Linked DNA regions of Tamandua tetradactyla. The protein of the gene in region 2 interacts with the protein of the main gene of each other region in a pairwise test. Links are inferred from orthologs where the notes say so. Each region holds a gene or a part of one and is shown on either strand. Other genes may lie near its edges.

What was found.
Region 1: the proteins of GCC1 (region 2) and ZNF276 interact in binary tests that used the Homo sapiens proteins (3 or more experiments, as listed by UniProt). The two-hybrid records come from large-scale screens. The link is inferred for Tamandua tetradactyla from reciprocal best matches to the Homo sapiens genes GCC1 and ZNF276.

What each region holds. Positions count from the first base shown.
Region 1 is NC_135342.1:83,814,920-83,826,357, reverse strand, and holds the start of ZNF276 (zinc finger protein 276), read right to left. Parts: upstream 5,299-11,438; 5' UTR 5,206-5,298; coding exon 4,589-5,205; intron 4,201-4,588; coding exon 4,154-4,200; intron 4,055-4,153; coding exon 3,611-4,054; intron 2,534-3,610; coding exon 2,455-2,533; intron 1-2,454. Other genes in the region: VPS9D1 (VPS9 domain-containing protein 1), read left to right, coding at 6,488-6,586, 9,722-9,797, 11,350-11,438. UniProt on the Homo sapiens protein: May be involved in transcriptional regulation.
Region 2 is NC_135327.1:168,989,758-169,001,208, forward strand, and holds GCC1 (GRIP and coiled-coil domain-containing protein 1), read right to left. Parts: upstream 4,919-11,451; 5' UTR 4,829-4,918; coding exon 3,797-4,828; intron 2,955-3,796; coding exon 1,659-2,954; 3' UTR 122-1,658; downstream 1-121. Other genes in the region: ARF5 (ADP-ribosylation factor 5), read left to right, coding at 8,420-8,486, 9,024-9,104, 9,469-9,578, 10,044-10,115, 10,589-10,714, 10,840-10,926. UniProt on the Homo sapiens protein: Probably involved in maintaining Golgi structure.

The DNA.
Region 1 (11,438 bases), on a different chromosome or scaffold from region 2:
CAGCTGAATCTGAACTATGGTGCCAACTCCCTTCACTGTAAAAATAGTGTCTTCAACCAATGGTACCGGGACAACTGGCAACACACAAGCAAAAGATGAATATGGACCCCTACCTCTCACCATACAGAAAACGCAATTCAAAATGGATCAATGAAAAGAATTTAAAAAATAAAATAAATTTAAAAAAATGGATCAATGACCTAAATATAACACTAATACTAAGCTCTTACAAAGAAACACAGAGAAGTATCTTCAGGACCTTAGTAGGCAATGGATGTTTAGATTTTATACCAGAAGCACAAGGAACAACAGGGAAAAAAAAATACATAAAATGAACTTAATTAAAATCATAACTCTTATAGAGAGACTATTGTCAAGAATGTGAAAAGTCAACCTACAGAATGGGAGAACGATGTATCTGATAAGGTTTTAATATCCAGAACATATAAAGAACTCCTACAATGCAGCAACAACAACACAAAAAAACTAAAAATGGGCCAAGCATATAAACAAAGATTTTTCCAAGGAATATATTCAAATAGCCAATAAGCCATATATTCAACATGCCAATAAGATGTTGAGCATCTTCTTACAACGGCTGATGATGTAAGAAGATGCTCAACATCATCAGCCGTTAGAAAAATGAAAATTAAAGTTACAATGAGGTGCCACTTCACACCCACAAGGATGGCTATTACTTAGAAAATAACAAGTGTTGGCAAGGATGCAGAGTACCTGGAACCCTCGTACATCACTGGTGGGAATGTAAAATGGTGCAGCCACTATGGAAAATACTTTGGTGGTTCCTCAGAAAGTTAAAAAGAATTACCATATGACCTGGCAATTCCACTCTTATGTATATATCCAAAAGAACTGAAAGCAGTGACTCAAAACAGAAATTTGTACACTGATGTTCATCACAGCATTATTCACAATAGCCAAAAGTTGGAAGCTACCCAAGGGTCTGTCAACAGATAAATATATAAACAAAATGTGGTCTATCTGTACAAAGGGATATTATTCAGCTGTAAAAAGAAGTGAAGTGCTGGTACATACTACAGCGTTGGTGGACCTTAGAAACATCAGGTTGACTGAAACAAGCCAGGCAGAAAATAGCAAATAATGTTTGATTTCTCTTACATAAAATACTCTGAATAAGCAAATTCAAAGATGCAAAAGGCAGAACGGTAGTTACCTAGGATTGGGGGAGGTGGAAATGGGAAGTTACTGCTAAATGAGGATGAGTTTTGATTTGGGAAAATAAAAGCTGTCTGGAAATGGTGAAAGTTGCACAGTGTTGTCAATGAATTTACTGTCAAAGAATTCTCCATTTAATATGGTTTTAATTTTTATATTACATATGTCTTACCACAATTAAAAAGTCTTTAAAATTAAAACAATAAATTGATTAAAATGTCTTTACATTTTAGAAATTAAACCACAATTTTTAAAAAAATGAACATGAAAAAAAAAATTCCACCCATAAGCCAGGCTCTCCTAGAATCAGGGTCCTCAAACTCTGCCCAGCAGGGAGTGAAGACCCCGGCCACAGTGGGCTGCCCAGGAAGTTTACGAAGGCAAGGAAAACAATCTACATGCCCGTCACCTGTACACTAAAGTATAAATTGCCACTAAATCTCTGTTGTGCACCAAACTGAGCCAAGCCAGATCCTACAGGGAAGCTGCCCACACTTCCACTACAGGCCACCCTGGGCCTGGACAGAGAGAGGCCCAAAGTTAGCCAGCAGAACCAGGATTAGCAGGCCACATGTGGCCACAGGCTACATTTCCAGCACAGACTCTGTTCCTTCTAGCAACCCTCAGTAATTCTTCATCAAGTCCCTATTTCATCCAGTACCAACAATGTGCTGGTCCCCGTACTCATTTGCCAGGGATGGATTCTATTTTCCAGCCAGGCTCCAGGGGTCTGGAGAAAAGGGTATAGGGACCCAGCCTGGGGAACAAACCACCACCTTCAGGGGCTCAGCTCAAAGGCAGGTGATGGTCACAGGAAGCAAGAGAACCTGTAAAGGGTGGTCACTGGCTTCCTCTGCCGCCTCAAGCACAAAACCCCCGCTTCAAGTCCTAAAAAAGGACCTGAACCTGGCTTCCTCGTGGGAGAGTAACATTCGGACTGAGACAAAACTCAAGCTTTTAAGGGAAGCACAAACAAGCAACAGAAAAGGAGCCAACCATAGGACAGTTTTAACAACACAGCCTCCACGCTGCCGAGGTTACACAAGCCATGGCCTGCCCACTTTTGTAGCTGCATTGGCTGAAGGCCTCCGAGACCTGAGATGCCCCAGGCAGGAGCCCTGAAGCCACAGAGACCTCCAGCCCGGGCAGTCCTCCCGCCGCAGCTGCAGGGAGAAGGCCTGGAAGTGGGCGCCCAGGTAGCCGCGTTTGGTTTTCGAAGAAGAAATTTTAGACTATTTAAACCCACTCTTCTCTCACCCCTCAGAAAGGTCACTGAACTCGTCTTTTACCCGATCATCCGAGGCTGAAGACGGAAGCTGCTTCTCACTCAAGTGCCCTGAGAAACAAAGAAAAAGCTCCTGTCACCAACAGAGAGTGGAGGGCCTGCTACCTGCAAAGGGGCTGGGAGAGCACAGATGGGGGGGTCCACATGGGAGGCACCTCCCTTGTGTGCACACAGAGTCCCTCTCGCCAAGCCCTGCCCAGCTTCAGAGCCACCCCCCCAACCTCTGAATCCAGCAAGGGCACCTGCCATGCTGGGTACCAGAAACCCAGGGGCATGTTCTCCCCAGGACTCAGATTTAGCTGTTGAGGTAGGGTTGTGAATTAACTATTCTTTGTGGGTGATTTGGATGTTTTAAATGCATACTTAGCAAAGCAATACATATAATGACAGCCATACCCAACTGCTGTAACAATCACAATCACAGCAAATCTCCACCCAACCCCACTAGCCCCCTTTCCCAAGGCCCCATGCACCCTTTCCCAACCCGAGCCACTTCATCGGCATCCACACCTCTCTCTTTCTGAGCCACCTGGGTAGCTGTGTTCTCTATGTGTTGTGACTTGGACGCAAAATCTGAACATGCATGTGGACCAGTGCACAGGCAGATGGGAGCAGCCAAGGCTGGTCAAGCTCTCCCAGGACCAACAACCTCAAGCAGCAGCTTAGCCCACCCCAACACAAGACCCTGGCCTAAACAAGAGGCCTGTGTCTTCCCCTCTTGTGTGCTCACACTGCCGTACTGGGGCGTCACCAGGGCCCTGGCTGAGGTCCAGGAAATGTCCTGCAGCTGGCCCAAAGCATCAGCCTCACAGGAAAAGTCTGTCCTCTTCCCCTGCACCCCACAATGAGGCCCCATTTTCGTGTCTCTTCAGTGCCCTCGGTCTAGGGCACAAGCTAGAGAAAACTAGACACAAAGAGCATCTTTTCGGAAACAACTGAAACGGGTCCTATTCATGAAGCAACTGAGGCCACCACGTGCTCCTCAGACGTGGCAAGCAGTGCAGAGACCTCAGAGGGGGGGCAGGCCCAGCCCCCTGCCAGCCCCCATCAACCCCCTCCAGCAGCGCACCACCATGACCACCTCCCACAGCGGAATGCCCCACGGGCACAGGCCCGATCGGCTCCTACCTGGGGCCCCGCTGGGGGGTGGGCTTGGTTGAGGCTGAGGGCTCTGTGCAGGCCCCACAGGGCTGCTATCCACAGAAGGCAGGGCTGTGACCGGGCCAGGCAGTGTCCTCTCAGCCCCAGCTGTGAGTCCTCTGCCTGGGGCATCCTGCAGGGTGGCCCCAGCAAGGGAGGGGCCTCTCTTCTGGGGGAGTCGCATGGCTGACTCCTTGTCCCACTCCCACTTGACCGCCAGTGTACTGTCCAACAAGAAGGCCCCACAGCCAGTGTCTGTGTCCATGGTGTAGTTGTGGCCCTGGCCACAGCCCCACAAGGCCTGGACAACACCGCAGTACTGAGAGGAAAGTGCCTTCTGTAGGCTGGGCAGGGACTCGCAGCTGGCCGCGTGCCTGTGCACCCAGCCCACCAGGCCATGCAGACACTCGGAGCTTGATGTGACAGCGTCCACTGCAAGGAAACAACAGGGACGACAGGCCCGAGCCCGTCAGTACCCAGGCTACCATACCCACACACCTGCCCAGCCCACCTGCCCGGGTACACACTCACCCAGACACACGCCCTCCTCTGTGGCAGTCTGCGGCTGGACACTGACCCTGCAAAGAACCATGGTGTATCACTAGAGTGGGAGGAGATGCAGGAGGGGGCAGCTGCACCTGGGGGCTTAGGGCGAGTGGGTGCCCAAGGTCTTAACACACCCGGCAGGAGTCCTCCAACCAGTCCTTTGTTCCTGGACTACTTGACCTCTTCCCATGGTTGCCTCCTCACCCTCAGGCCCCTCCTTGCCCACTGCTCACATCCCCCATCCTCACTGCCCTCCTGTCTGTCTCCTTGTTCCTATGCCTCACGTCTGGGGCTCACTTGACTGTACGCTAGTCCCCCAACAGAACAAACGTTCTCGCCAAGCTTTTATGTCTAACTGTCTGCCACACTCCCAGCCATGAGAGCAGCACCCACTGGACAAACAGATGGATGGGTGCTTACTTTCCGCCCGGCTTCTGCTGTCCCGTGTGAGAGACGTTGACCCTCTGCAGGAAGGCCCTGAGGATGCCATGGCACTGGTAGAACTGGGCATGACAGTTCTTGCAGACAAACGGCGAGAGCGCGGGGTCCTGGAGGACCGGCACCCCCAGCAAACGCTGGAAGTCCTTGACGAACACCCGCTCCCCTGCAGGTGGGCTCTCCACGCCCTCCCCAGGCCCCCTGCCAGAGATGCTGCGCAGGCTCCGTGAGGAAAACTTGCCATGGCAGAGGCGGCAGCGCCCCATGGCAAAGGCCCGGCCTGGTCCTGGGGAGGGTGGGTGAGAAATGCCTCTGGTCAGCCATGAGGCCGGCTCCGAGCTGCTCATGCCACGGGCACCCAGGACACTAGTACCCCAAGGCCCCCTCACCAACCTCCCAGGCCTGAAGCGGAGAAGGGCACCGGGGGCCTGGGCCAGCGGCAGGGCTCCGGGCGCTACAGCCGAAGCACGCAGGCCCCGAAGAGGCGCCCGGGCCCGAGAAGCCCCCACGCCTCCAGAGAGCCACTTCACTCCTCCCCACGCTGGCCCGGGGGGCCAGAAGCAGGCTCCCTGGGTGGGCTTTCCACCGCCAGACGTCATCGATGCCGCTCCCTCCCCGCCCCGAGCCGGACCCCGAACTCACGTCGCCCGTGCACTCTTCAGCTTTACCGACGCGCTGGGCCTCGGGCGGGGCGCGCGGAGGCCGAGGTGGCAGCAGCGCTGGAGCCAACCCGGGCCCTGGGGCCGCCGCCCCGGGAGGTACGGAGACCCTCAGACGGCGGCTCTGAGGCCTCCGCCACCCCGGCCTGCGGCCCCGCCCGCGTCCCGGAATCCCGAGAGACGCGGCGGCGGCCCACCCACCTGCCTGCTCCGCGAGCTCCTCGGTCGCCCCGCAGGCCCGCGTCGGGCCCCAGCCGAGCCGCGCCGCCGCCGTCCCGCCCGCGCTCTGCCCCCCACTGCGGGAGGGGCGGCCCCGGGCCCGGCCACCGCCGCCAGGGACCCCGCGCTGCCGGGCCGCCCCGGGCGACAGGAAGCGGCCAAGCCTGTCGCGCTTCATGGCGCGGCCCGGGGAAAAGGCCCGGCAGGCTCCCGGCCCCGCTGGGTTCGCCCTGCTCGGGTCCTCTCGGCGCGGTTCGGCCCCGCTCGATCCGCCCTGCTCGGCTCCTCTCGGCGCGGTTCGGCCCCACTCGGTCCGCCCTGCTCGGGTCCTCTCGGCTCACTCGGCCGCGCTCGGCTCGGCTCGTCCCCGCTCGGCCCGGCGTCTACAGGCTCCACCAAGATCGCTCCCAGGGAGGCGGAGCGGAAAGTGGCGAAGGGCGGGGCCGAAGCTGCCCGGGAGGGGCGCGAACCAGGCGAAGTTCGAGTCCGGCGGCCCCGACCCTTCTATTAGGGCAGCTGCTAACGCCCGGGAAGCGCTGTCCCCGGGCCGGGCGCCGTGCTGAACGCTCGGCTTCGCGGACGCCCGTGTGGGAGCGCCGACCTGCTCTTATCCCCACTTTACCGAAGGAAAACTGAGGCGCGGGCGGGCAAACGCCGGAGGGGCCTGCGCCGACTGCGCCTCACAGAGCAAGAGCGAGGACCCCGGCTCAGGGCGGTAGGAGAGGGCTCTCATCACGCCTCTCCCTTCCCACATGCCAGTCCGGGTAGCGGGCCAAACTTCGCGCCGCAAAACGCGCTCTCCGCCACCGGCAGGCAGCCGGGATTCGAGACAGGCTCGGGCGGTGGGCGGGGACCGGAAGTGCTGTCGCGGAGGCCCCGCCCCTTCCGCCGGTCCGCTGCTCGGGCGGCTCCTGAGCTCTCGCTGGCGGGGTTCCGGGTTCCCGGCCGGGGCCGCCGCCCCGCCCCGCGGCCGCCGCCTCCGCTGTCCCCGCCGCCCGGCGCCATGGCCGCTGCGGCCGGGGACAGCACGGCGAAGCCGCTGCAGAACGCCATGAAACTCGCCAACGGGGCCATCGAGCTGGACACCGGCAACCGGCCCCGGGTGAGGCGCGGCGAGGGCGGGGTCGCGGAGAGCGGCGGCGCGGGGGCCCGGCGGGCGGAGGACTGGCGGGAGGGCCCGGTTCGGCTCCGCGCGACCCGTCGGGGTCGGCCGACGTGGCCGCGGTGCGTTTGTGAAGGAGACTCGCGGCAGCCCGGGGCCCGCGCTCCGGGAAAGGGCCGCTCGCAGCTCCTCCGGCGCCGCTCGGGCCACCTTGCCCGGGAAGAGACGCAGGCGAGCGGGAGGGCGCGCGGCCCAGGCGGGGCAGGTGGAGAAGCGGGCAGGGCCGCGCGAGCCGCGCTCACCCTCCGGCGCCGGGGCCCAGCACTTTGCCCCGTCTCGACCCTCGGCCAGCCGCCCCACAGGTCAGAAACCTTGCCCGGCATCCGCGCCACCCTGGTTGATCTCCAGGTGTGGGCTTGAAGGTAGTGAGTGGCCAGGGACCTGGAATGCCAGGACAGAGCGCTGTGCCGTGGTCCCTCCTGCCCGAGGCCGGAGGCTCCAACACGTCCGGTGCTTTGCATCTGCCCAGGGAGCCCCTCCTCTGGGGCTCCGGAACGGGGCTTCCCGGTGCCTCAGTGTCCCGGCTGCTCAGCAAACGCTGCACCACGGGTTGGCTTCACAAGGGGGATTTATGGGCTCACGTCTCAGCCCGGAAGGCTTGCTTCCTCCCAGCGCCCCTGTCTTCTGGCTGACCAGCTCTCTTTGGGGCTCCTTGACTTTTCCATTACTTAACAATGTATATGGTAGCCTCTTCTGGGTTCCTCTGACTTCCAGCTTCTACTGCTCCCCACGGCTTCTCTCCCTCTGACTTTCCCCCTGCTCTTAACAAAGGACTCCAGTAATCCGAATTAAAGCCCAGCCTGGTTCACTGGGCCCACACCTTAACTGAAAAAACAGTTTGAAGAGATCTTACTTAGGACGGGTTCACACCCAAGACCAAGAATGTGTCTGTACTGAAGCATGAGTCAGCCCACCACAGTCCACTCTCTAGCTCCCCAAAAGACACATCCTTCCAACGTGCGAAATACATTTGTTCCATCACAACCATCTAAAAGCCTTAAGTTGTTCCACTAATAGTGCTTGGTAGAAAGCCTCATCAAAATTGATTATGGGTATGTCTGTCCTGGGGCCTAATTCCCTTTGTCTGTCGACCTGTGAAACCTGGAGAACAAGTTATTTGCTCCCAATATACAATAGTGGGGCCGGCATACCCTTCTAAGAGCTTGTGCAGTGGCCATGCTCACCCGAAACACTGGGGTGAAGGTCTGCAAAGCTCAGGATGGCGGCCAGTCTCTCTGCAAACACTGGAACACAGACCCCACCGTCTCTGAACATTGGGGCAGCAGCACTGTCCCTGAGCTTGGGCCGCCTCCTCCAAGCACTGGGGTAGATGACCTGCCCTTCCCACGTAGCAGGTGGGCTCCCTCGCTTGGCCTGAGGTCTTTTCAGTCCAGACCTTTGCTTCCATGGTTCTGGTCTTAAAATTGTTCTTCCTTCAATTTGTCCTTTCTCTGTCCCTTTCAATCTGGGCTGACAGTGGTTCTGCCCATGAAAATTTTGCAAAAGACATGTGTAATTCAAATGGGTCCAAGCCATCAGATGGTAGAACTTTGTATAGATCCTGGATAACTGCGTTTCCCATCCTGATTTCCACTCAAGAGTCTGGCTAATCCACGTTCAGCCACACCTTCTTTCGCATAGAGTTGTTCCATTAAACCCTCCTGTGAAGCCCTGTTCTGTGGGGACTCCCTTCCCAGAAGCTCAGAGAAGCTTCTGCCAGAGCCGCCTCTGGCCCTAGTGTTAGAGCAGGTAGTCGAATGAACTGAATGTTCCAAACTGCCAATTTCTGGTTTCTTTGTGCTTATGAGTTCAGTTCTCAGTTTAACCCCTTCCTCTTATATTTTACAGTAAGCTGCAAGGAGAAGCCAGGCTATACCTTCCTTAGCTTGGAAATCACCTCAGCTAAATATCCAAGTTCATAACTTACAAGTTCTACTTTCAATCTGACATCAGAACGCAATTTTGCCAAGTTTTCTGCCATTTTATGGAAAGATTGCCTTTCTCCCAATTTCCAATAACACAGTCATCATTTCTTTATAAGGCCTCATCTGAAATACCTTTGGCATCCATATTTCTACCTACAGCTTTTTCAGTGCACTCGACTTTTTGTATCTAACACCTCACAATTCTTCTAGCCTTTACCTCCTACCCAATTCTGAAGCTGCTTCTGTACGTTTAGTATTTATCATAGCAGCATCTCACTTTCCAGTACCAAAAATATGTCTTTGTTTCTTAGCCCCTAAAATAAATACCATATAATGGGTTGACTTAGTAACAGGAATTTGTAGAGCCTAAAAGGTACGCTTCCTCCCAGAGTTGGCATCTCCTGGCTGGCCAGCAAACTCTGGGGTTTCTGGGCTTTTCCGTCCCACCACAAAGCACATGGTGGCACCTTCTCCTCCCTCTTCTGGTTCTGTTGATTCCGAGGCTTCTCCGTCTGACTTTGGCTCTGCTTATGAAGGACTCCAGTGATCCCGATTAAAGGCCCAGCTGATTCATTAGGGCCACACTGTCACTGAAGTGACGTCTTGAAGAGACCTTACTTAAAGTGGGCCACACCCCAGAATGCAGAGTAGGGCCAAGACCAGGTCCAAACTAGATGCATGGTTCAGGCCCCCACGCCAAGGCAGGAGGAGGGTCTAGCATATACAACCCAGGACTTTTTGTTTCTTGTAAAGCCCCTGAACAAATGGTGCCTGCGTTGTGAGCACAGAAAGGACACTCAGACTGAAACGTGGGTGCACTTGTTGAGACTGTCTACCCAGTCCCACCAAATGAGAATCTTACTTCCTCCCTGTGCTGGAGAGAAACACAGCAAGGAGGGATGGGTGCCAGCTGGACCCCTCTCGGTGCCTGAGGCAGCACTTATAGAGAGAAGTGTCCTTATGTTCTCAGGGGCTGGCATCCCCCTCAGATCTGGAGGAGTGAGGGTCATCTGCGATTAGGGGACCCCTGCAGAGTGGCAGGAGCCTGGCTGCCCCCTTGTGTCTCAGAGACATGCAGGCCCCACTCTGCCACCTTTCCCAAAGGCTCTTGGCTTCCGCTGGCTGACCCACCTGTCTCTCCCATGCCCAGGAGGCATATGCCGCGTACCTGAGGAGCATCCACTACATCTCCCAGGTGCTGCTGGACGAAGTGGACGCCAGCAAAGGTGAGGGGAAGGGTCCACAGGAAGGGGAAGGGGGTGATGTGTATGAATTTTTTTCTGTTTTCTTTTTATTTTTCTGAATTGATGCAAATGTTCTGAGAAATGATCATGATAATGAATATACAGCTATGTGATGATATTGTGAGTTACTGATTATATATCAAGAATGGAATGATCATATGGTAAAAATGTATGTTGTCATGTTTAATAAATAAATAAATAAAAATTAAATTAAATAAAAAACGAAAGGGGGTCCTCAGCCCTTGGTGGGTGCCCAGCCTGAAGTCCCCTATGTCGTTAGCGGAAGGTGGACCCTTGTGCTCTGTAAGCATCATTGCCAGAGTGTGACCTGGAGCGGGCAGGATGTGCTGTGGACGAGAGGCCAGAGAAGCATGGAGGCATGGTGGGAGGGTCAGAGGAGGTGACAGGAGGGGGTGCAGAGGACGGAACAGAGCCATCCACACAAAGGGATGGGCCTGGGTCCTAGATGGAAATGGGCAGTGTGTCCACAAGAGAACCAGAGGAGGGATGTCACCAGCGCTGGGCAGAGATACAGGGTTCTGTGGGCCTGGGGGTAGAGGTGGGGTCATTCTGGCTTGAGGGGGGCTGTGGATGGAAGCTGAGCCTTGGGGAGACTCCTAGTGTAAGGAGGGGTGAGGGCCTGGAGGACATACTGCAAAGGTGGACTCCACCCATGGGACTGGGGGTGTGAGCCGCTGGGGAGGGGCAGTGCTGCTGGTGGGACTACAGGGAACAGATTTGTGAGGAGAGGAACAGAGTTCAGTCTTGCATACAGTAAGTTTGAGGTGCCAAGACCCATGGGTGCAGCTGTCCAGCAGCCCATTGGATGCAGAAGTAGGGGTCAGAGAAAGGGGGGAAGGCATGGGTATAAACTAAGTCTCCGGCAAACAGGCATTTCCCTAGGGACTGCTGAGCTCTAAGATGCTCCAAAGGGGAGGAAGGACACAGAAAGGAAGGCAAGGTGGGAGTGGGTAAGACAGCTGCAGTGGGAGTTGTGAAGCTAGAAAGAAAAGTGGAGCGGGGGGGAAATGGGAGTATCTGAGGGGCTCACTGTTAAGGGCGGCAGGGAGCCAGGTTGGAGCTGGAGCTGGTGGGGTCCAAGGAAGGGTTTGGGGGCAGCAGCTCCTACAGTGTGTGGGTCTGCTAATAGGAGTGGTCCACAGAGGATTGTGTAGGCAGAGCAAAGACCTCTGGAGAGGTGTGAGGGGTGCCCAGAAGTGCGTGAAGGCAGCCTGCAGGAAAGCAGCTCTGTGCAGACGCAGGCAGGTGAGAGATGAGATGGCGAGAACTGAGGCAATCCCACTTGAGCATCTCCTTGTCACTGTACAAGGCCCTCTGGCAGCTGCTCGGCTGACCTTGCAGAGGGCCGTAGGATGCAGAGTAGAGAACTTCAAAGGTCATTCTGAGTCCTGAACCTGTCACGGAAGCTTGCAGCAAACCCAGGAAGGCTTTCTAACTGCCTTTTTTACTTCAACAAGAATCCAGTTAGTGTTCAAGCTGAAGGTAGCTGTCTGTCTTCTCTCCTGCTCCCTAGAAGCTGGGGAAGCAGTGCCCCCAGATACCTCCAAGATGCTGAAGCTTGCTGAGCAGTGCTTGGAGAGGGCCCAGTCAACAGCAGCCAAA
Region 2 (11,451 bases):
ACTGAGGGGATTCCTCCTGGATTGAGGTTCCTGGAGTATTTCCATTCTTCCATTCACCATTTACATTCATACTCTGTGCGTAGCCATACAAACCACTAAGGAAAGACACAAGTCAAGTCACTCAGGGTTACTGATTTCTTGTTTATGTTATCATTTGAACATATCACTTCGTTCTTTAATTCCATTCACTGTCAATACTCCAGGTCACCTAGCCTCCCATTCAGAACATTTAATCAAAGACTTTTGGACCCCAAACCCTCAGAAAACAGATCTCTATAGGGAAATAGCAGAAAGATTATTAGGCCAGTTAATGGAAAGTATGGATCTTTAGGATCCAAAGATCTCTATAAACAACAAGGCAAATCAGGGGAAAGGAGTCCCTCCTCTCCTTAAAAGCAGAATGAATACATTTGTGTATGTGCTGCTGAAGCGAGCACCAGAATGAAAATATTTATACAAGAGAAAATAAAAGAAATCCCTTTGAAGGAGGAAAAGTTACAACAACATGTATGGGAACATGAGGACTGCAGATTAAAATGCTATTACCTCCCTAAGGGGTGGTCTAAATACCCTGGTTACAGTAAACAACAGGCACCCTGGTTTCAGGGAGGTGGAGATTTAGCCAGAATGCTGGCTACAGGGCAGGAAGTACCCCAGCCCAGCCTCAGCTGAACTTTCATCACTTTCCTATAAGGATGACAATAACCTTTTGGAATCCTCTGCAACAAATCTTTCTCCTCCTTCCTTGTCCCTACAAAGGTAGAAACAGAGGTTAGCAAATCTCTGAGCTTGTTCCTTGTACCCCAGCAGGATTAGTTTACCAATCCAAACCCTCTTCATAAGAAGCTAAGATTTTGTTTCTTAATGAAAAGTTCAACACCGAGAAAAGACAGCAAAGTCAACCTTAGGCAGACAAATTAAGGAAGGAACAAGTATGAAGCCTATTTTAACCTTAGCTAGGCCCAAGCAAGTCACTCAGAAACTTTCTTAAAGTCAAAATGGTACTCAGGGCCCTCTCTAGGATGGTTATAAATGGCATGTTTTGTCTAGATCTTTTGGGTCACACCCTGGCCCTAACTAAAACAAACTTCCTGGTTCCAAGAACTCACTATTCCTTGACCCTTTGGACAAGTGGACAATCTGTCACTATTTCAAGCTTCCTAGCCCTTTCCAGCCTGGATTTATGTCCCCAGAAAATAGGAGCAGCATTGGACCAGACTCAGACTGTGATGGAGTAAATGGTCATTGTACATCTCAGGGCATGTTGAAAAATTAGTTAACTGAACTCCCTTCGGAGACACATTTACTCCTAGCTCTAAGCAAGAAGCATAATATTAAAACAACAAAAAAATCTTATTTTAAGAGATTCTCACCACTTCCTCAACTTCTGCACCTCAGTTTTAACCTCTTCCCCCTCACAATCCAAGACACACACGTACATGCCACCAGAAGATGTTATCCCAACACTTTCAGTATCCTTAGGGCCCAGATGCATTGATGGCATGTGGCAGAAAATCCCATCCCACAGTGAAGATTCCTCCCAGTTCAACACAGTGAAGAAATAAACAAAAACAGAAGAGGCAGAGGCAGTAGAAACCATAGTCTGCCCCTTCCCACACGAAGAGGCACAGAAGTCTCAGAAGTCAGTGAAAATGGCATCATCTCTTGCCAGAAGGCCACCAGCTACCACTGGCTGGGAGCCGCATTATCACTTGTTTCTCCTCTGGACTGAAGTGCAAGATAGTCAGAATGGCTGTGAGCGTCTGCTGGCGGCCCAGCATGTCAGGCAAGGTCAGAAAACGGTAGATGATGTTTTTGAGGTACTCCAGGTTGGCTCCCTCCCTACTCTGGTCCCTGATGTTCTTTTCAATGTGGCTCTGCAGGGCTCCAACCTCCTCACGATGCCGCTCCCCCTCCTCCAGCAGCCGATCCTGCAGCTGATGCACCTCTACCTCCAGCCTGTGCTTCTGTTTCCTGAGTGATGTGATCTCCACCTCTTTGCGGGCCAACTGCTCAGCATACAGGAAGAACGTGGGCTCGTTGGCCGCAGCAAGTTGCAGTGCTTGGGTCAGGCTATCCGAGGCAGATGTGTCAGCTGGGTCTCCAAGACCCCCACTACCCACAGGGCTTCTGCGTCCCGGCAGCCCAGAGGAAAAAGCCACAGAGCGCAGTTGCTCCAGCTCCAAATCCTTCTCCGCCAGGACAGTCAGGGCACGGTCCCGCTGCTTGTGCAGCTCCTCCTCCAGCTTCAGTGTGCGGTCCCTGAAGTCCAGCTGGCTCCGCTCCAGCTCCTGCCGGTGGAGCTGCTGCAGCCGGGACAGCTCCTGCTTCTGAGCCTCAGCCTCCTGTTGGTGCTGCCGCTCGAGTTCCTCACAGGATAGCCGCAGGGAGATATACTTCTCCTTTAGCTCTGCAAGCTGTTCCTGGGCTTCCTCCAGCTCCTTTGCCACGTTACCATCTTTGGTGCTCTTGTTCTTGAGGACGACCTGGGCCCTCATCTTGTACCTCTCAAACTCTTCCTTCAGCTGTTTCAGCTCCTGCTGATAGTAGAGCGCAGTAGCCTTCTCCCCATCAGCCGCCTCCGAGCTAGGCATTATCTCTAGGTCGCAGAGCTTCTCCACATCCAGGGTCATCTGGCTTTTCCTGGCTGCGACCTGCAGTAGCCTCTTTAGCTTCTCCATCTTATCCTTCAGGACATTGACATCCAAACTGGACTCCTCTCCATGGCTGTCTAGAGGGGATCTGCTGGAGGCAGCTAGAGCCAGAGTCCTGTTCTCCATGTCCAGCTGCAGCATGCGCTCCTTCAACTTCTGGATGGCCAGCTGGTCCTTCTGTTTGGCTTTCTCATAGGTACCAAGCAGTTCAGACACCTCAGATATTTGGTTCTCCAGGGCCGCCACCCTCTGCTCTTCCATCTGAGATTGCTGGCGGAGTTGATCCTCTACAAGGGCTGTCTGCAAAACAAGGGGACATGTTGTATTGAGAAAAGCCACAAAGACCTGTGGCAAATTTTGAGAAAGCAAGAGAGAGAGCAAAATGGGTCACAGGATGGGGTGGCCTGGCAAGAATGAGAACAAAGGATTTTTCTGCAGATTAGAGTGCTAACAAAAGTTCCTATGGCTTACTTGTTCTGTTCCCAGATACATATCATACCAAACAATATTAAGCACCTTTGTATATTTGGTGCTGTTCTGCTTTAATGCTCCCATTTTCCTCCCATCATACACTTAGCTCACATATAAAGTGCATTCCTGATGCTTATTATGTACACTCCCAAATCCTATTAAGAAATCATGTTTTTCCCTCTTCCAGTATTCCTAGAAATTTAAAACTGAGTTGGATCTTTCCATACTGTAAAGATGCACTGTGAAATAGCACAACTTTCCAGAACAGACAATCCTAGACTGAAAGCAATTACAAAAGATTGTTTCTTCTGAGAAAACTTATTTATTCCCCCATGAGTCCTCCATACACTATATTTCACTGAACAGTTGCCACTATACTGCTTCCCGGAGCACAGCTGACAAGATGCCAATAGCCAGAAGCTCAAAGCTGCCTGGCTCCCATACGGCCTACACTTAGAAATGTCATGTTCTATTGGAAGCTGGACACTAACAGTGGATACTGTCAACATCATACAGAACAGGATTTCCCAGAATTACCTAGTCAAACTTTACAGATAGTATCAAAAATGCCAGTGGAGCCACTTGGATCTAAAATTACAAATTACTAATGGAGGAAAAACCCTAATATTTTCCACTTCAGATTAATGACAAATGTATGAAGGGATAATTACCTTCCTCATTTCCTGCTGCAACTGAGCTTGGAAATGATTCTTTAAGCAAGCAGCCTCTTCCTGAAGCTCCTGCACCCGAGAGTCAGGTCGATTCTTCTCATCCCGAAGAGCCTGCAGTTCACCCTTCAGCATCTCCACTTCACGGCTCAGCTGCTTGGTCTGCAGTTCAAATCCTTCTATCTGATCAGCTGCATATGCTCGCCCCACCAGGGCTTCTCGGGTCTCTTCCAACCGGAGCTCCAAATCCTGGCGCTGGGTCCTTTCTTCCTGCAGCAGTTTCTGGAGCTCACGCAGCATCAAGGCATGGTCACTCTGCTCTTGGGCCCTATCATGCTGCTGCGAGATAAGTCGGGCTTTGGTTTCTGCTATCTGCTCCTGCAGCCCCTTCAATTCCCCCTCCAGAAGGCCCCTCTCCTCCTCTGCCTTTTTATTGGCATCCTCTAAGTCCTGTTTCATCTTCTTCTTGTCGGCCAGGTAAGAAGCCTCCATGCGAGACTTCTCCTGGGTGACTGTAGCCAAAGAGCTGGTCAAAGTAGCCAACTGAGTCTTGAGCTGGTGCAGTCGTTTGTCCACTTCCCCACCCGCAGAAGGTCCATCTCCACTGCTACTGCTAACGCCACTCTCCGACCCACTGGCCTCTTCGGACTTTGCAGGTGGCAGTCCACGGGCCGGTTTGTCATCTTCTACCCCAAGCTCACCCTTGGTACTGGTGAGACTGGCCGCAGTATCCAAGCTGGCGGCAGTCCCAGTGCTATCACCACTATGAGTGGAGCACCGGTCATCAACAGAGTCAGGAAAGGTGAGGCCTGGAGGTTGGACACCGGTGAGACCCAAATCCGCCTCGTGGGACACCGACAGCACTTTAATGCTGGCCTCTAGAGCCTCCTTCTCCTTCAGGAGGCTTTTATAAGCGCGGACAACATCCTTGAGCCGTGCCTGGTACTGGAGAAGCTGCTTTTTCTGCGACTCTATGGTATCCAACAGGTCTTTCTTGCTCGGACCGCCTCCAAAACTCATCCCAAACTTCTCCATGAGCGTGCTGGGCGGGCTGCTCCACGTCAGCGTTAGGCAGCTCGGGAGAGACCCGCGGAGACACGGGCGGGGACTTACTATAAGGCACAGGGAGAGAGTTGTCCGATTGCGGGGCGCACACCTGCTTCTTCCAGCTGTCGGGTACCGGATGCGGCGGCGGAGCAAGTTGGCAGGGGCGCCCGCGGTGTGCCAGGCCCGGCGGATGGGAGCGGGTCCTAGCCTCGACGCGCGCACGAGAGAACCGCAACCCCAGCACTTTCCGCACTGACCACTTCGCGCTCCCTTCTCACACAGCCCACAGCAGCTCGGGCCGCCCCCACTACCCTTGGCCCAGGCTCGGCCAAGGGCTTATACCGAGGGCTGTCGCATCACCGCTTACTATTACGGAGGCCCGCGACAATGGCGCTTTCGGGTCCGCTGGAAGTGACGACAGGACGCCGTCCGGGCTCCGCCCAGAGTGGGCGCGAGGTAGGCGTGGCTACTTCAAACTGTGGCTGAGGCAGTTGCCGGCTGAGAGCTCGGTGGGTTTACCGGTAGAGGAACCGTCTTGGGAAGAACGGAGTAAGCAAAGTCGAGGACACTGGGTGGTTTAATCTGGTGACGTCAGGGCGCCTGAAGTTGCCCTTCGGGCTCGATCAGAGAGCTTCAGGGGGCGATGTCGCCCTGCATTCCTGCCGAACACTCCAGGTGGGCGAAGCGTCCCTACTATTTGGGGCCCAGTAAGTATGCCCCTAAAGTGCCATAGAGTCCCTTTTTTACCATGGAAACTGCAGCTGTTTCTGGCTCAGTGCTTGCTTGGCACCTAATAGGCATATAATATAATAATTGTTAGCACTCTTCGTGAGTCGATTCAATAAATATTTATAGAGAGCACTTCGTATCGACCAAATGTATGCCAGTAACTTCACAAGAGTTTGCTACCGAGTCTTTGCAATAATTCTACTCAGTAACATTAATACAGTTTTACAGATATGAAAACATGAGGCACAGACAGGGTAAGTAACATGGCCAAGCTAGTAAGTTTAGGAATCCTAACCAGATCAGCCTGACACTGCATATTAGATGATGTGCCAGATGATAATACTGTGAAGGGACATGGCCCTGTCCTCAAGGAGCTCACAATCTAGTGAGGAACTGATATGCAAACACAAATCCTGCTATCATACCAGTATTGATGGATATTTTCAAAGTGGTACGGAACTTAAGACAGGAATAGGCAGAGAAGACTCTTGGGGAAAATACATTGGTTTTGGAAGATGAGAAACAGCTGCCCATCTAACTAGAAATGAAGGAAACCAGCATTCCCGGCAGAATGAAAAGATCACAAGAGGCATCTGAAAGCCTGGCTCATCCAGAAAGCATTAAGAATCACATCAAGACAGTAGCTTTGGGTATGTGAAGTAGGTGACAACAGATGGGAAGGCACAACAGGTGGGAACCCAATTAAGGCACTTCGATTTTATCTTGGGTGATAGGAAGATACCAAAGATTTTCATCTCAAGGGTAGTACCATCAGGACTACTATAGCAGGGTAAGATATCAGGAGCAGGAGTCAGGTGAGAAGGCTCAATTATAGGGAAGAGTTTTAGTAAAATAGGACAGTGACAACTGGGATGGAAAGAAAGGGGATGATTAAAGAGCCAAAGATGTAGAACTGACCTAACTTGGTGGCCACTAGCTGTGTTATTATATGGGTACTTTTTTTTATGCTAATGCAATTTATTATTATTTTTTGGATGCTAATGCAATTTATTTGCTTGCTTAACTGCAAGCTGCCAACGCAGGTAGTACCCAATAACTGGGTCAGGGGCATACAACACATTTAAAGATGGAGGATTCCTGAGTCTCTAAAGTCCAGCAGCCCAAGAGCCAATACAAGGAAGGCAAATAGCTTTAAGGAGAGGCCTCAGGAGCCTGTCTGACACAGTATCAGTAGAGGTCCAAAGCCGAGAAGGAGGTGAGGACAGCCGCAAACAAGCAGCACAGCACAGACATTGGAGGCAAGTGACTGAGCGAGCCTGCCTCTTATATTGGTACTTTTTAAATGTACTTTTTTTTTTTTTACCTGGTATGAGCCTTCCTAAGAATGGAATATATGACTGAAGAGCAAAGGAAAACCATGCACTTGTGCACACCTTGTTCCCAAAGTCTGTTCTCATTCCACTTTGCAGACCATGATGGGGCAGGCCCTAGAAGTGTGCTTCATTCCAGTTTCTTTGTGGCCCAGTAAAATCTAGCTGCCTAACACAAAACATTCAGATACAATTATCCCATTTACCATAATCTCCTGAGATAAATATGGCAGACATTGTCCTTTTATAGATGAGAAAACCACAGAATTGTGAGGGTTGTTTAAGCCAAACTCTCAAAAAAATGGCAGAACAGATTTAAACTAAGACTTGGAATGGTGCTGGCACATGGGAATACTCAATAAATATTTGTTGAGTAAATGAATGAATGAAGATTTTCTGATTCCCAACCTAGTCCATAAGCAGTTGATCCTAGAAGCCCACTGGGACTCCAGAATAAATATAATGTCTGTACTTGCTCCACTGAGCTCCCTATCAGTCCAGTTTAACCCAACAAGTATTTGCTAAGCATAATTTAGGTGCCTGGGTACTGATCCCAGTCTCTAGAAATTTAGGTTCTTTCCTATCTTGCTTTTCCTCTCAGATGCTAAGAGGGGAAGATTGTTTGTGAAGTTCTTTGGGTCTAGGGAGGCAAGAAGCCCATAAATCCTGGACAGGTGTGCATTAATCCAGGTTCCCATGTTCGTGGCAAAATGGAGAAAGGAACTTCAGAAAAGCTGCGTGGCCCCAGATTGAAAGGCAGTGTTCCCAGGGCATTATGGCGAAGGCAGAGTTCTCCAGCACTCTAGGGGTGGGTCTGCGACCATGCAGCCGAGAGCTACTGCTTGAAGAGCTATAAACCAGGCGTTTTAAAGAACCATGAAAGCTATCACCAGGGCATCTTCCCTCATCTCTGGCTCACTCCTCACCTGATTCTGCAGTCCCTTTATCACCTACGCATAAAGCGCCTCATTAGGAGCTGAGGAGGCAAAAGGGAGGAGTAAGAACGGAGTTTCCGCTCTCCTAAGGTGGGTGGTGCACGCAGTAGGTGCAGCTACCTTCCAAGGGCTGTAGCAGAGCCCAGAGTGGGCTGGACGCAATAGAACCAAAGTCCCAGCGGCGGGCCACTGAAGACGGGGACAGGGGGCTGCTTGGAAAGTTGAAGGCTTTCCTCAGCCCCGATCGGGCTGCTATATGAGCAGCCACAAACCTGAAAGGCGAGCTAGAAACTGCAGAGGCCTAGACCCTTTCCTTCTTCAAAGCCCGTGGAGGATTCAGCGAAGGTGCGGAGACTCAGCTTCAACTTCTCCAGGAGAGGGCTGGGGGGCGGAGCTGGGGGCGGAGCTGGGGGCCCGCGGTGACGTAGGGCGGGCCAGGACGCGCGGAGGAGGCGGCGGCGGCGGAGCCTCCTGCTGCTGGTGCTGGTGCTGCTGCTAGTGCTGCTGCGCCGGGTTCCCCCGCGGCCGGCGGCCTCCAGCCCGCACCCGGCGTCCGTGCCCGCACCCCTCCCCCGGGCCCCGCCATGGGCCTCACAGTGTCCGCGCTCTTTTCGCGGATCTTCGGGAAGAAGCAGATGCGGATCCTCATGGGTGAGGCAGACCAAGCGCGCGGCCCGGACCCGGGCGCCGGCCCCCGCGCAGCCCTCCCGCCCCCGCGCCCCTCCAGCCGGGCTCACCCGGATCTCTGGCCCCGCTGCACCCACCTCCTAAGCCCCCAGGACCGGCGCTGCTCTCGGGTGGGTCCGGTCTGCAGCGCCGCCCCTGAGGCCTGAGACCGGGAGCGGCGGGCCTGGGTGGGGTGAAGCGCCCTCCGCCCCGGCCCGGCTGGTAAGAAGGGAAGATTCCGCCCTTGGGGACGCCTTTTAGAGGAGCGCGGCCCTCCTCCGGTGTCCCTTACTCCCGCAAACCCCAACCCCAGTTTTCTCCCTTCTTGCCCAGTTTGGGGGCAGGAGTTGGCGCACATCATCCTGACTGCCCTCAGGCCCCTGGGGTAGATAACAGCGCGCACCTGGACGCGCTCCGGCTCTCCGCCCCCGTCACCACCCGCAGTCCTGACCTCTCCCCTTCCCTGGTCTCTAGGGGGCTCCCTCATTCCCGTTTCCATCTCTCTGCCCCTCTCCGTTGTAGTTGGCTTGGATGCAGCTGGCAAGACCACAATCCTGTACAAACTGAAATTGGGGGAGATTGTCACCACCATCCCCACCATAGGTGAGCCGGGGAGCGGGAGCACCACCGCGATCCTTCTCGGGGTCTGCTCCCTGTTCTGCCTGAGGCCCTTATCTCTCTCCCCGGAGCTGACCCTGACACCAGATACGGCTACTTGAGAAGTGGGTCTGGATGTCTCTCTACTTGCGGGGTGGGGGGGTGGGGGGGTGGGGGGGGCGGGAATACTGCGGGAGGCGGGGTGAATGTGAACTAGCCCCGCCCCAGCTGTTGACTGCCGGTTCTCTGGGGTTCTTTTCCCCTGTTCTTGATCACTGCCCTCTGGTTTTGTGTCCCTGCTGAGATCCAAGTAGTTTTAGTGAGTCCTTCTTTACAAGACTTTTTTCCATATTTTTCCAATTATCTGTAGGCTTCAATGTGGAAACAGTGGAATATAAGAACATTTGTTTCACGGTCTGGGACGTGGGAGGCCAGGACAAGATTCGACCTCTGTGGCGGCACTATTTCCAGAACACTCAGGTAGGAGCTTGGGAACCCCAGGGAAGAGAAAGTAGGGCTAGGACTGAGAAGGTAGCCTAGCTGGGTCCCCAGGCCAGGTTAAAAAGAAAAAAACCTTTCTTCCTCTTCCCCCTTTTCTTGGCTGGCCTCTACTCATCCTTCTGAGACTTCATCCTCTTAGGCTTCTGAGAAACAGAGCCCTGGGTCCACGCTGCCTGACTGAGCTCGCATCACCATAGCTTTATTGTCTGTTCCCTTGAACACCTTTTAGCTAGACCACTCACTCCTTGAGAACAGAGGCTGCATCCTTTGCTGTGGTGTCTCCAGCTTGTGCTAGGATTTCTGCAGGGCCTTGGTGAAAGCTTGCTAGACAAGAGGGATTTAGGCCCAATTAAAGAAGGGAAGATGAGAGAGAGGAGCAGACTAGAGCATGTTCCAGTTGGGGATGATCGTTCGTTCCTTTTTCCTTTCTTGCTTCCCATCCAGGGCCTCATCTTCGTGGTGGACAGTAATGACCGGGAGCGGGTCCAAGAATCTGCCGATGAACTCCAGAAGATGGTGAGCACCTGGAGCCCTGGAAACTGAGCCCTCCACGTAGGGGACAAAGAGATCTTGGGGCTAGCGTAGATGTTTCTCACAGACCTCGAGAGCTAAGAATGTACGTGTTTCTTTGTGGACACATTATGTATCTCACCCTGTTTTCAGTTTTGGTAAAAAAGCACAGGACTGATTTTTTTCCTTGAATTCTTACCTTCATGTCCGACTGTGGGAAGTTGGGTGGGAGAGGGGGTTTACATGGTGGAGAGAAACATCATCTGACGTTTTGGTTTTCCCATTTGGAAATGTGGTCATTTTGACTAGGGCATGTACTCAAATTAGAAAAATGCTATTCCTAGTCTTAAGACCTAGGGAGTCTCAAGCTCAATTATAATCCTAGAAGGTAGAATGGGGGACTCCCAGCATAGCAGGGAGAAGGGACTCTGGAGACACTGATGGAACCTCAGATCCTGCCACCTCTTCTACCCTCTTAGCTGCAGGAGGATGAGCTGCGGGATGCGGTGCTGCTGGTATTTGCCAACAAGCAAGACATGCCCAACGCCATGCCTGTGAGCGAGCTGACCGACAAGCTGGGACTACAGCACTTACGCAGCCGCACAGTGAGGGTCCCACCCCACCCACTGGATCCTGCCTCCCCAGGGGAGCCACACAGGCTGGGGCAAAGATGTAAAGGCATCCACTTTCCTTCCCTGCTGTTGACCTCTTCCTTTCCTTCTCCCCACAGTGGTATGTCCAGGCCACCTGTGCCACCCAAGGCACAGGCCTGTACGATGGGCTGGACTGGCTGTCCCATGAGCTGTCGAAGCGTTAAGCAGCCAGGGGCAGGCCCCTGCTGTCCGGAAGCTTCCACGTGCATCCCCGGGATGACCAGACTCCCGGACTCCTCAGGCAGTGCCCTTCCCTCCTACTCCTTCCTGATAGACACAGGCCTCTGCTCCTGCCTGTATGTTCTCTCTGTTGTTGGAGCCTGGAGCTTTGTTCTCTGGGCACGGAGTGGTCTACTCTCTTGCCTGCTGGGACCTGCAGAAGGGGCTTCCAGAGGAGGAGCACAAGGATCTGGGTTTGCTTTTTTTTTTATTTTATTTTTTTCCCGTTTTGGGTATACCCTTGGGGCCAGGTTGGGGGAAGGTGAGGGCTCTGGGTGGTGCTATGATGTGGCACTGGATATTAAGTAATAAATTTGCCGTGGTTTGTACCCTGTGTTGTCTGTAACCTAGAATGGGGCAAAGGAAGGCGTGGGCTGGGGTATTGGGAGGAAAGAAGCAATGTGGGGAAGGCTCAAAGGCTGAAGGATCCACCCCCGCCCCACATCGAGGCCCTCATGTAGCTCAGCTTC